Coturnix japonica: one gene and its partner. The protein of the gene in region 2 interacts with the protein of the main gene of each other region in a pairwise test. Links are inferred from orthologs where the notes say so. Each region holds a gene or a part of one and is shown on either strand. Other genes may lie near its edges.

Region 1 (5,978 bases), on a different chromosome or scaffold from region 2:
CAATTGCATGATCTGATTTCTCATTTTCTGACTCAAGATGTTTTATAAGGCAAGGTCTGCAGAAGCTTAAGGTGCTTTAATGAAAACAATTGCCCAGCAGATGTTTTTGGTGTTTTTGCTTAGTCAAAACTACAGTTGAAACAGTATTTCAATTCTACCGTCTCTGTAGTCCACCGTTTATTTCTGTTAAGCCAAATATTTTCTTCACTAATAAAAGAAGGAGTGTCATGAACTGTTGTCAGGGAATCAAAATGAACTTTTCAGACCCGGTGTGTTAAAAAGCATAGCTGAAAGGTAAGGTTAGAGGAAAGCCTATTATAACAAGCAAAAGCAGAAGTGGCAACAGCAAAACCTCATTTGTCCTACTAAAAACCAATACTAAAACATTTTGATAGTATTACCTCCAACACGAAGGGAAACCTTCAGTAACCCAGACTGTGGTTTCATATTTCCATTGTAAAAAGTAAAAAACTTTAAGATATTTTGAAAGCCTGTCTAACTCCATGCTGTAACTTATTCCATAGTTATATTGCAATACAGTACACCTTATACTGTCAACCAAATGCAAACATTTATAACACGACAGAGGACGAAATTATGAAGCATAACTCATTTGAGGGAGAAAAATGGATGGAAGAATGAAGAGGTAACACCATAGAAATACCTTCAAGGCAGACATAAAGGAAACTGCTGCTATTAATAGTAAAGCAAAGGCTAAAGGCACAGATATTTGCTAGCAACAGAGAATATACCTGAAACCTGCTAGTGAAAACTGTTTCTGAACCCTCTGTCTACTATTCCTACAGTCAGTAAAGATTTTTCTGTGTCTTTCAGACTCAGACTGTCAGGTTTTACTATGTTTTGTTTCTCCTCTGTTAGTTAAGAAAGCCATTTGTGCAGAATGAAAGGCCCACTGCTTACAAAGTTTAGTAACAATTACTATCTCAAAGCTGTGCTTCTTAAGGGAGGGATGCTGTACGGTCTAGGAAAAGGAAAGGGAGTCAGAACCCTAACTGATGGTTCTGAGTTACTGCTTTATAACTAACACAATAGTGGAAGTTGGACAGATGACAGCAATTTTGGCTTTCAGGCTTCTTTCACCACTTGCAAAACGATCATAGTTTTCCCCAACTAAAATCCTTCAGAAGAATCCTTCATAAGTTGTAGATATTAATGAACAGCAAGCATCTCAATTTGGATTTCATTCAAGAACTCTTTGCAGAATAGGTGGAACTACTTAAATCTGATATTTCTAATCTTAACTTGCTTTTGGAAGAATATGTCCTATAACCATGAAAGCGTCACTTAATTTTGCTTTAGAAAATTCTGGCAATACATTTAAAATTACAACTGAGCAAATAGAGAACAAAGCAAACAAAGAGCAGGGTCCTGATTTCCACCCCTCCTCACCCCCACACTATAGTTTCTCAGCTTCAGCTCAACTAAGAAAAGCAGCCCTGGAAACCAAGTTTTCTTCAGAAGACCACTTTTCCTAATTCCAAAGCACAGCACAAGCTCATACTTCTATTCCTCAAAACAAAAACCAACAAAACACACAAAAAAAGTATAAAAGTCAAAAGTTAACACCAAGCAATATTAAAATCACACAACCTAGCATGAAAACTGGCTAATCACACAAGCAAGGGAAATCATTTTTGCAATGACACAGTTACTCTGAAAGAAATAAATCCAGTTGAGCTATGTAAAAACAAGCTACACAAAGAAAACCAAAAATCCATTTGACATCTCTAACCCTGCCAAGGCACCCATCCAAGTACAAGCAACAGCTACTCAGCAATTCAGAGTCAGTCTATATAGACACTTCATTTGGGTACGCGGGGAAGAAGAATGGAATTCTTTTTTCAACGTGGGAATTGAACTCCTTATCAAAAACGAACAGCTAAAAAATGAACCAAAAAGTACAGATTTCCACAAGGCGCTACAGCCTTCCAGCAACACCTGTCATTTAAAACATACCCAAGCTATATTTTTGCATCAGTGAGTTACTTCTGAGTACTAGCATTTCCAATCCTCTCACGTCAGGCAGTTGCTTCCTTCCAACACACAAGTCAAATGTTTAGCAGCCAGCCAACTCCGAGTCTTGACACAACCAGAAGCCAGTTCAGATCAGGTAAGAAGAGCTTACATTTGTTACAGGCATTCATAGAATGGTTTGGGTTGGAAGGGAGCTGTAAGATCCTCTAGTTCCAACCCCCTGCTATAGGCAGGGACACCTCTGGACCAGATTGCTCAAAGCACCATCCAACCTAACCTTGAATGCTTCCAGAGAGGGGGTATTCACAACCTCACTGGGCAACCTGTTCCACTGTCTCACTGCCTCATTGTAAGAATAGCATTAACTCTTTAAAGCGAGCAGATTTGACTATAGCAGTGTTGTGGCAAACAACACACACGCAGTTCAATAAACAATTACAAAAACATACTTTCCAAAATAGTCTCAAGAGAACCAAGATCCCCATTTTACAGAAGTGATGTTACACAGAGGTAGTGCAAATCGCAGGTCACACAAAGATCTTTGAAATGAGCTGGGAACAAGCACTGCTCTCTCAAGACTCAGGCCAACACACCAGCTATAAAATGATCCTAAAAACTACATGAGTAGGATTTCAGTTGAACTGGCACGATCGCAGCTATATTCCTGTATTCAGACTCACGTGAGAGGGGCCTTCACATCTCCGGCAACAAAGAACAAGAAGGTCCAGACCTTTACTGCTGGAAAACTATTGAAACGTTGCCTTTGAAAGAAATATATTTATCTCCTCACACTAGTTTCTTCATTGCTATTACAAACTCAAATATATTCTTAATGACATCCTGAACAGTAAGGATTTGTTCAGATGAAAACCTCAATAACCACAAAAATGAATCCACGCTCCATAGCATCGCAAATATTTAACAGCTGAACGAAGCGGGGCTGTCAACAGGTAACACAGAAGAGATAAGCACACAACACCACACTCCCGCACCTCCCCACGCTCCCTCAAAGGAAAGAAATCTTTTCCTGTTCTGATCTATTTTTACAGTCTGGTGCATTGGTATTTTTGGCTTACTTCCAAGGGTATTCTTTACCGGGGCATCACAACTACACGCCAGATTTCGGGACTATTTTCGCTCGTTCTCACAGGCTGTTTCCCAGCCCCAGCTCCTCACCGCCCGCTCTCGGCGCACCTCCCCAAGGGGCAGCGATCCACCACCCCCCTCCACAGCCGGGCACGGCGTTTACCTTTCTCCCTGCTTGCTGTTGGAAGGCGGCGGGTGCAGCACGGTCTGGTTGCCCTCCATCTCCACCACGCACTTGGTGTTCAGCTCCAGCTCTGCAAGGAGAGGCGGCACGGGGTTGAAGTCGGGGGAAGGGGGGGGGAGGGCGGGCGTGCTTCCCCCTCCCCACACCCGCCCGGATCCCCGCTTACCTCTCCTGTTCATGGGCCGGACCCTAACGGCCACCTTCACTTTAGTGTCCGACATCTTTCCCCCCCCCCGTCTGCGCCGGGCGGCCCCGCTCAGCGGCACCGCGCAGCGCCAACGTCCATGCCGGGCCGGGGCGAGGCAGGGGCCGGGGGGGGCGGGGAGGAAGGGGAGAAGGAGGAGGAGAGGGAGGCGGAGGACGGACGGCGGCGCAGCCCCAGTCGCCTCCCCGCTCAGCCGGCTCTGGCGCTGCCTGCCGACGGCATCGTTTGCATAACTGCCGCCGCCGCCCCGCCAATCCCAGCCGCCATCTTCAAGCGCGGCGGGGAGGCGCCGAACAGCATCGGAAACACTCGGAGATCCGAGCTACCACGCCTCTCCTCAGCCCTACACCGAAGGACGGGGAGCTGAAGGAGGAAAGGCAGAGCAGCGCCCCGCGGCGGCGAAATGGAGGGAGGAGCGGCGCTTGCGCAGGGAGCGACGGGGAAGCCGGGCACTGCGCCTTGCCCTCAAGCCGCCCTCCCGGCGCCTGATGATGGAGGCGGGGCCGTCCCGCCATCCCCGCCCCCTCAGTGGCTGTGGGGCGGCTGTAGGGCTGTCCTGTTCTCCCTTTGTGAGGGTGAGGTGGTGTGTGCCTTCCTGAGGGTCACAGCTGGGGATTCTTGAGCCAGAGGGGCACCACGGTTACATCCCAAATCTGTGAAGTGCCAAATCTGCTTCTCACAGACAGCGACCTGCGGGTTTTGCCAAGTGGCTGCCCAAATAGGGCAGGAAGGAGTTGTGTCTGCTCGCAAACTTGTCTGCTCACATCAGGGAAAAGCATTACAAACAGTAACGCCTGTACCCAGCGCTCCGAGGACGGCCTCGCTTTTAATGGATAAGCCAGGAAAACTGTTGAGATAAACCGCAGCAGCCTTATGATCTCAGGAGGGCTTTTATTTCAACTGTCTCGTTAAAGCCTCATCCTCTTGCCAGAAGTGTTTCCTTAGCTTCAGCAAAATATTTCCCTGTCTTTCGAGCCCTGTTTTCTAGTGCAACTAAATGGCTGGAATCCAAGTTGCAAAATCACTGATATCTGCATCATGTTGCTTACTGAAGGCAGGCTAAAATCCAGCCAGGATTATTCTGTCTAAACTACTGCAGGGAGGATGGGCTAAACAAAACACGATGGATAGGCAGATAGTTGCACTGAGAAACAGCAGGCCTTACGAAAAGAGGTAAAAATGACTGACGCTGCTGCACACCACACCAGCCAGATGAGCCCTGCAAAGCAGCTCAGAAGAGCTGTGAGCAGATGAGCACGAATGTCAGTCCTGTTGCCCCTGAATGGCCACTGGTCACAGGAATGCTGAAAAGAAATATGAGACATGCACTCAGCGTGGTGAGAGACTTATCCAAATAGAGCCAACTATCTGGAGAACATCACTAGCAGAAGCTTCTGATACAATTCTGTTAATTTATAATAATGTAATTAATTTGCTTTCTTAGGGAAAGTGCTGGCATGCACAGATTTCTTGCCCATGGAAGTAGACGTCAGGAATTAGGTTTGTTATGAAATGCATCGTAAGTATGTGGTTCAACTGAGAAAGATGTTGAAATGAGGCATCCTGTTTATGGCTGTATACTATAAGGACACCAAAGGAAGGAAGCGCTGGCTCAAAATATAGTATAACGTCTGGAATGGCTCTGCAGAAATTGAGTTCTGCGAAGCTTGGATGCTATTGGGAAGGAGAGAACATCCAACAGATGGGGCAGAGAATAATCCCTTCTATCTCTATTTTCCACTTCTCACTGGAAAACTGCATCACTGCAAGATTAAATAAAAACGATGATATTAGCTAATGAGAAACAGAAGTGTCCTTATGAGACTACCTGAGATTTTGGCTATGGGAAGGAATATTTGCTGTTATCTGGAATAGATATCTAGATCTATTAGGCAGGATGAATGTAGCAGAATATATCTCTTTTGGTCTCCACGAAACCTTGGGCATTATAGCACAATAGTAAGAGAGTTATGTCCTCTGGGCCCCATAAGATCATTAGACGGCCCAGAGAGCAATCTGTACTTGTACAGAAATATCCTCTTAATGTGCCGGACAGAATCATCAAGTCTGAAAAAATAATTAGCTTCCAATGGACCTGGATGTTAGAACTGGTGTGTATATATATAACTCATAGTGTTGGAAAGCAGGTTTTTAAAACCCTGTAAAAGGGAGAAGAAATAATGATATAAGAGCCAGGGGAGTATGTTCTAGTATAGCAAATTCTTGGCTGCAAGAGAAGAGGGGCATTTGATCTGTGGTCAGAAGTCTCAGTGGAAAGGAGTTCATCACTACCATCTCAAAAGAAAAGACCAGCAAAAAGCTTTATGAAACCCCAAAGGCCTGACGTTCTACCAAGGTCATACAGACTCTACCACCATCCAAAACTGAACCAGAAACCAAATAACCCCGGATGTGTTTGCAGATGTGCAAATAATTATTCTAGCACAACCACGTTGACCACAGTTAAATTTTGAGTATAAAACTAATATATGTATAATTGTTATTATC
Region 2 (5,710 bases):
CTGGCTCTTAGAGGCTCCTGATAATGGTTATTTCCCAGTAAAGCCCCATCTGCAGTGGGATCTCCCTGGTGCCCAGGCTGCTCTCCCTTGATGCACGTTAAGATCATGACTGGAGAAGTCTGTTCCTTGTGTCAGTGTGGGGACAGCACTAAGAGACTGTGAGTCCCCAGGAACAGTGCTGTGCTGATGTCAGCTGCTCCTCCCCCAGCTGCAGGAAGCCAAGGGTGGGGAGCAGTGCAGAAGGGAAGTGTGAAGGCACTTCTTGGAAGGGAACAGGCTGCGTCAGCCCCGTCCAGCCATCACCCTGCCGTCCTGCCCCACCACCTCCCTCACCTCTGGGCCTCCCGGTCATCCTTGGGCATGTAGTTGGCCAGGCAGTCCAGGATGAAGATCTGTCCCCATTCAGTGCACTCGTTCAGGGCTGTGAGCAGCTTGTTGATGGACTGGGGGTTGAGGTCCAGCAGGTTACTGCTCGGGTGCGACTCTGCAATCTCCGACAGCGCTGCTACTGCATTAGCCACTACCTGCCAGAGGAGATGGGACACGTGTGAAGGGACAGCGAGCACAATGGGATGGCAGTTGTGGTTCTGGAGAAAAGCTGCTGCAAGCAGATGAGATGCGTCCTCAGTGTGGGGCCCTTGCTCTGACATCTGGGCACCAGCTTCTCCTCCACACAAGCTGATGTGCAGATGAGCTATCAGCACACATCACCACCACCCACACTGTGACTCTTCCCCCATCACTACTTGGCAGTTTGGGTGGGCAAATCCTACAGCCCTGTGCTCCTCCTGTCCCCTCCCGGCAGTCACCCTCAGCAGGGAAACAGCAGAGAGCCACCACCACATCAGTGCAAGCTGGTGTGAGAAGCCAAACATGCAGCATCACAGCATTCCCAGCCAGCAAATCCTGTTTGATGCCTTTCCTGCTCCCCATAGGGTGCAGAAGCTAATAACAAAGGGGAAATAATGAGATCTCACATCTAAAAGCAGCCAGGAGACGGTTATTGGACAAGAAAAGCAACCCCAGGGACAGCCACCCCCAAAAGCAATCTGACAAGCAGCAAAAAGCATCAAGAAATGAAGAGGAACGTGGGAGCAAGGATACAGGGCTGCAAAAACAAAGGAGGGCATCTGCTGCACCAGACAGGGAAAGCAAGGTCTGATCACCATGGGGTTGGAGTCCGAGATGAGATCCTTGAGGGTGTCCAGGAAGCCCTGGTCCTCCACCAGCTGGGCATTGATGTCATGGAGCTTGGCCACGCAGACGGCCGCTGTCTTGCGCACATACGGGTCCTCATCCTTCAGGCACTTGCGCAGGGGCTCACACAGGTACTCTGTTATCTTGTCCACACGGATGCAGCCCATGGTCCGCACGGCCAGGGCACGGATCAGAGGGTTTGGGTCCTCACAGTCCTGCAGGGCCAGAGGGGACAGTGAGAGCTCCAGCCCCTCCAACCACAGCCATCAGCAGCAGCTTCAGGACCTTGACTTTAATTCGGGTTCCTGAAGTCCTGAGGTTATTTGCATTCAGCTCCTGAGTGGAGTGAGTGCATCCCACAGAAGGAGTTCAGTCTCATTCCACTGAATTCTAACACTGTTAGAGCAGCTCCTGTTCCAAACACACCACAGAACCAGGCGTGTGCCCGGCTTACACCAGGGACACAACCCACCCAGCACCCCCCAGAACAGCCACCCGGCCTGGGGAACACAACCAGCACAATCACTGTTGTTGTTTTTTCCTTTTAAAAACACCAAAACTTCCTGGAAAGCCTCCCCACAAAAGGATCTGGTGGCCCAGGGGCTTCCAACAGACACACTCCCCAGCTCCTGCCCACAAAAGAAAGACCACGTTCTCTGCAGCAAGCTCAACAGGGGGCATCTCCAACACCACAAACATTTTACTCTTGCACCATGGGGCAAATTTGCTCTTATCCCATGCAAGGGGAGCCCTGATTTGCTGAGGGAAAGCCTTGGGCAGCTGCTTGCCCTCCCTTCGGTGGCAGGAGGCCAAAGTGCCGCCCCACAGTCCCTTCCCCTCACCTTCACAAAGGTGTTGACAGCCATGATGGCCATGTCAGGCTGGCTCTTGGCGTAGTTCATCAGGTAGAGGTAGACCAGCTTCTTCAGCTCCAGGTTGTCTGTCTGCATGCAGTTCACCACGTCCGGGAAGAGAGCGCTGAAATGTGAAGCACCGCAGATCTCAGGGCAAGTGACTGGGGTGTTAACACAGACATGATGCCCTGCTGGTGTGTGCCCCTTTTATCCTGGGAGAGCCACCAAACCCCATTTAACCCGGCCTTGAGCACCTCCTGGAATGGGGCACCCAGTGCCAGGGTCTCACCACCTTCTAAGTACAGAATTTCCACCTAACGCCTCACCTAAGCTTCCCCTTCTCTTTGTTTAAAGTCATTCCCACTTGCCCTATCGCTGTACAAAGTCACCCTCTCCCTCTTTTATAAGCTCCCTTTAAATACTGAAAGGCTGCAAGGGGACCCCTCCTCTTCCCTAGACCGAGCTGGCAACCTAGAAGGTATCCTCCATCCCAGATGACTCCACAACCCCACAATACAACCCTACAACCAGCCTGTGCTCACAAGCTCACAACCAGGCCTAAGCAGCCCATTGTGCTGGGTCTGAAGCACAAACCCCGGGGCAAAACCAGCTTTGGTGACTATTCCCCCCCTGCCCTGCAGCCCGTGGGACAGGAGGCCGGACACACCTGACGTCCTTGCCGACAGTCATGGATGCGATCACCTTCTTCACCGCCTCCTTCTTCTTCTCCTTCTTGTCGCTGTTCAGCTCTGCCTTCAGCTCGAAGATCTCCCCTATAGGGGAGGCAGGGGGTCAGCAGGGAGGTTCTAAGGGGGTCTGTGGGTGTCAGACCCCCACTTATGGGCCCCAATGGGATCACAGAGCCCGGCCCGGCCCAGCACAGCGCGGCCCAACCTCCCCCTGTGTGTGTATACAAACACTGTCCCATCTCTCCCTATGGTAAGGGCCGCCCCCTCACAGCCCCGTGCCCCCCCCAGGCCTCCCCGCAGCCCCCTCACCCTTCTTGGTGGTGGTGAAGTACTTGGAGTCCGTCATGGTGCCGCCGCGTTCCCTGCCGGGAGATGCACGTAACCATTAACAGACCACGTTCATTTTAACCCCCTAAACCTCTCGGTTCCCCCCCCCCCCCCCCGGTTCCGCCGCCCCCGGCCCGAACCTGCCACCGCACCGAGCGCTGCCCCCGGCCCAGAGGAAGTGAGGAGAGAGAGCTTCCGGGGAGGGGATACGGGGGAGGGGGCGGAGCTACGGGATGGGGGTGGGATGGAGCGGGGACAGCGCGTGGGGACACGGGGATAATGGGGTGGATATGGGGGGGGATGTGGGATGGGGACGTGGAACAGGGGTGTAGTGTGGGAGAAGGGATGGGAGGTGGGAAGTGGGCGGAGGAAAGGGGGTGGGGTGGGATAAGGGAAGGGATGGGGATGGGACAGCGGGTGGGAATGGGGGGACGAGGAATGGGAACGGGATAGAGGGGGCTGGGTCACATGTAGGGGCATGGGATTGGGAAGGGGGAGACGGGGGGTGAGGGACGGGATAGCACATGGGGACAGGAGTGGGGACATGGGGTGTGGGCAGAGGATGGGGTGGGATGGGCGAGGAGAGGGTGGGGACAGGGGACAGGGGTAGGGGAGGCACCGGGACAAGGGAAGGGATGGGGATGTGGACAAAGCGCAGGGACACGGGATGGGACGGAAAAGCGGCAGGGATGGGACAAGGGATGGGGCGGGGAGCGGCAACAGGGGATGGGAGTGCTATATGGGGGAGATGGGGTGCGGACAGAGCTTGGGGGCAGCGGATGGGAAAAGGCAGAGGGCAGGGGGACGTGGCACGGGGATGGAGAACGTGGGACAGAGGGACACGATGCTGGAGGGCAGAAGCACACGCTGTGTCATCCTCCTGGAACCACAGCAGCACTGGGGCCACCTCGCAGCCCCTCCGCGCACTGACAGCCGTATGGCCACTCCAGAGCGGCCCCGCGGGTTTGGCTGCTCTGCAGAGCTGCATCCCAGCGCTGCCCGGCACTGCAGCAGCTCCGTGCGCCAACGCTCCAACCCTCAGCACCGCGCAGTGTGGGCGGGGGGAGGGAAAAAAGAAAGTGATGAGTAGGGAGGATGCGATGCGCAGGACAGCGGGCTGTCAAGGTCAGCACACGGGGACCCCGCAGCCCAACGTGCAGCAGCTGCGGCCCCACCACCAGCCCACCTCCAGGGTCCCCCGGCAGGGTGTTGAGTGGCTGGGATGAGACATGAGACCGCATAGATGGGGTGGTCAGAGAGTGCTGACTGGCTGAGGAGACGGCAAGGCACCAGATCGAGTGGTCCCCGGGTGCTGGTGGAGTGGGTGCTCTTTGGGTACCAATACTGGGTGCTCCACGAGTTCAGATACTGGGTGCTGGCATTAGGTACGTGTGGATACCAACACTGGGTGCTCCATGGGTGCTGACATTGGGTGCTGACATTGTACATGTGGATGCCAACACTGAGTGCTGTCGTTGGGCGTTGGCACTGTGCTCCATGGATGTCAGCACTGGCTGCTCAATGGATGCCCACACCAGGTGCTCCATGGACTCCAGCACTGGATGCCCCATGTGCCAGTTGCTCAAGCAAGAGGGTGATGGCTGCACCGTGGGTTTCTCTCCTGGTTCCTACCCCCCTGCTCACCCGAAGACAACCGTAGAGCAGCCCACACCCTACACCCCACAGCGCTGCCCAGGGTCCCGTCCCAAAGGATGGGGGCCCCATTGCAGTGCAGATCCTCCAGCACAGAAGAGCTCTCGACCCCTACCTGAGGTAGAGATGAGGCCCCGTGGGAGCCTATGGCCTCGTGGGGCGGCCCCACTCCCTCCCGTGGGGTTCCCATCGTCTCCTCAGGGTCCCTCTTCCACCTTGAGGCCCGGCTCCCGGACCCCCCACCCAACGCCTTCAGGGCTGCGGCTGCTCGAGGCGGTGCCGCTGCCGGTGCCCGTCACCGACCCCGTGCCGGTGGAGAGGCGGGGCGGCCCCGACAGCCCCTATAAAGCCGGCGGCGGCGGCAGTGGTGCCGCAGTGAGGGCGGGGGCCACCATGAGCCTGGTGCTGGAGGCCTTGTTGGTCCCCCCGGGGGGGCTCCGCAAGGAGTCTTCTCGCTTCGCTCCGCGCTCCGCCGCCTCTTCCAGCGGCTTCCACTCATGGCCGGGACCCCCGGCTCCGGCGGGGAGAGCGCGGGGAGGCGGCGGGGGCAGCGCGGCCGCTTCCTCCACCGAGAGCCTGGATTCGCTGAACGGCGAACCGCGGGCACGTAACGAGAAGGAGGAGCTGCAGCACCTCAATGACCGCCTGGCCAGTTACATCGAGCGGGTGCGGGCGCTGGAGCAGCAGAACCGGGCGCTGGCGGCGGAGGCGGCGGCGCTGCGGCAGCAGCAGGCGGGGCGCTCGGCCATGGGCGAGCTGTACGCCCGGGAGCTGCGCGACATGAGGGGGGCATTGGTGCGTCTGGGGGCCGAGAAGGGGCAGCTGCGGCTGGAGAGGGCCCGCCTGGCGGAGGACGTGGCCGCGCTGCGGGGCAGGCTGGAGGAGGAGGCGCGGCAGCGCGCCGAGCTGGAGGCGGCGGCCCGCGGGCTGGCCCAGCGCTCTGCGCAGGAGGAGAGGGCCCGGGGGCCGCTGGCGGAGCGAGCCCGAGCG

What was found. The genes of interacting proteins can lie anywhere in the genome.
Region 1: the proteins of AP1B1 (region 2) and KIF13A interact in binary tests that used the Homo sapiens proteins (3 or more experiments, as listed by UniProt). The link is inferred for Coturnix japonica from reciprocal best matches to the Homo sapiens genes AP1B1 and KIF13A.

The regions. Positions count from the first base shown.
Region 1 is NC_029517.1:68,521,634-68,527,611, forward strand, and holds the start of KIF13A (kinesin-like protein KIF13A), read right to left. Parts: upstream 3,914-5,978; 5' UTR 3,487-3,913; coding exon 3,432-3,486; intron 3,336-3,431; coding exon 3,245-3,335; intron 1-3,244. UniProt on the Homo sapiens protein: Plus end-directed microtubule-dependent motor protein involved in intracellular transport and regulating various processes such as mannose-6-phosphate receptor (M6PR) transport to the plasma membrane, endosomal sorting during melanosome biogenesis and cytokinesis.
Region 2 is NC_029530.1:9,935,945-9,941,654, reverse strand, and holds the start of AP1B1 (AP-1 complex subunit beta-1), read right to left. Parts: upstream 3,327-5,710; 5' UTR 3,208-3,326; intron 3,103-3,207; 5' UTR 3,087-3,102; coding exon 3,050-3,086; intron 2,825-3,049; coding exon 2,719-2,824; intron 2,176-2,718; coding exon 2,040-2,175; intron 1,413-2,039; coding exon 1,167-1,412; intron 525-1,166; coding exon 334-524; intron 1-333. Other genes in the region: NEFH (neurofilament heavy polypeptide), read left to right, coding at 4,565-5,710. UniProt on the Homo sapiens protein: Subunit of clathrin-associated adaptor protein complex 1 that plays a role in protein sorting in the late-Golgi/trans-Golgi network (TGN) and/or endosomes.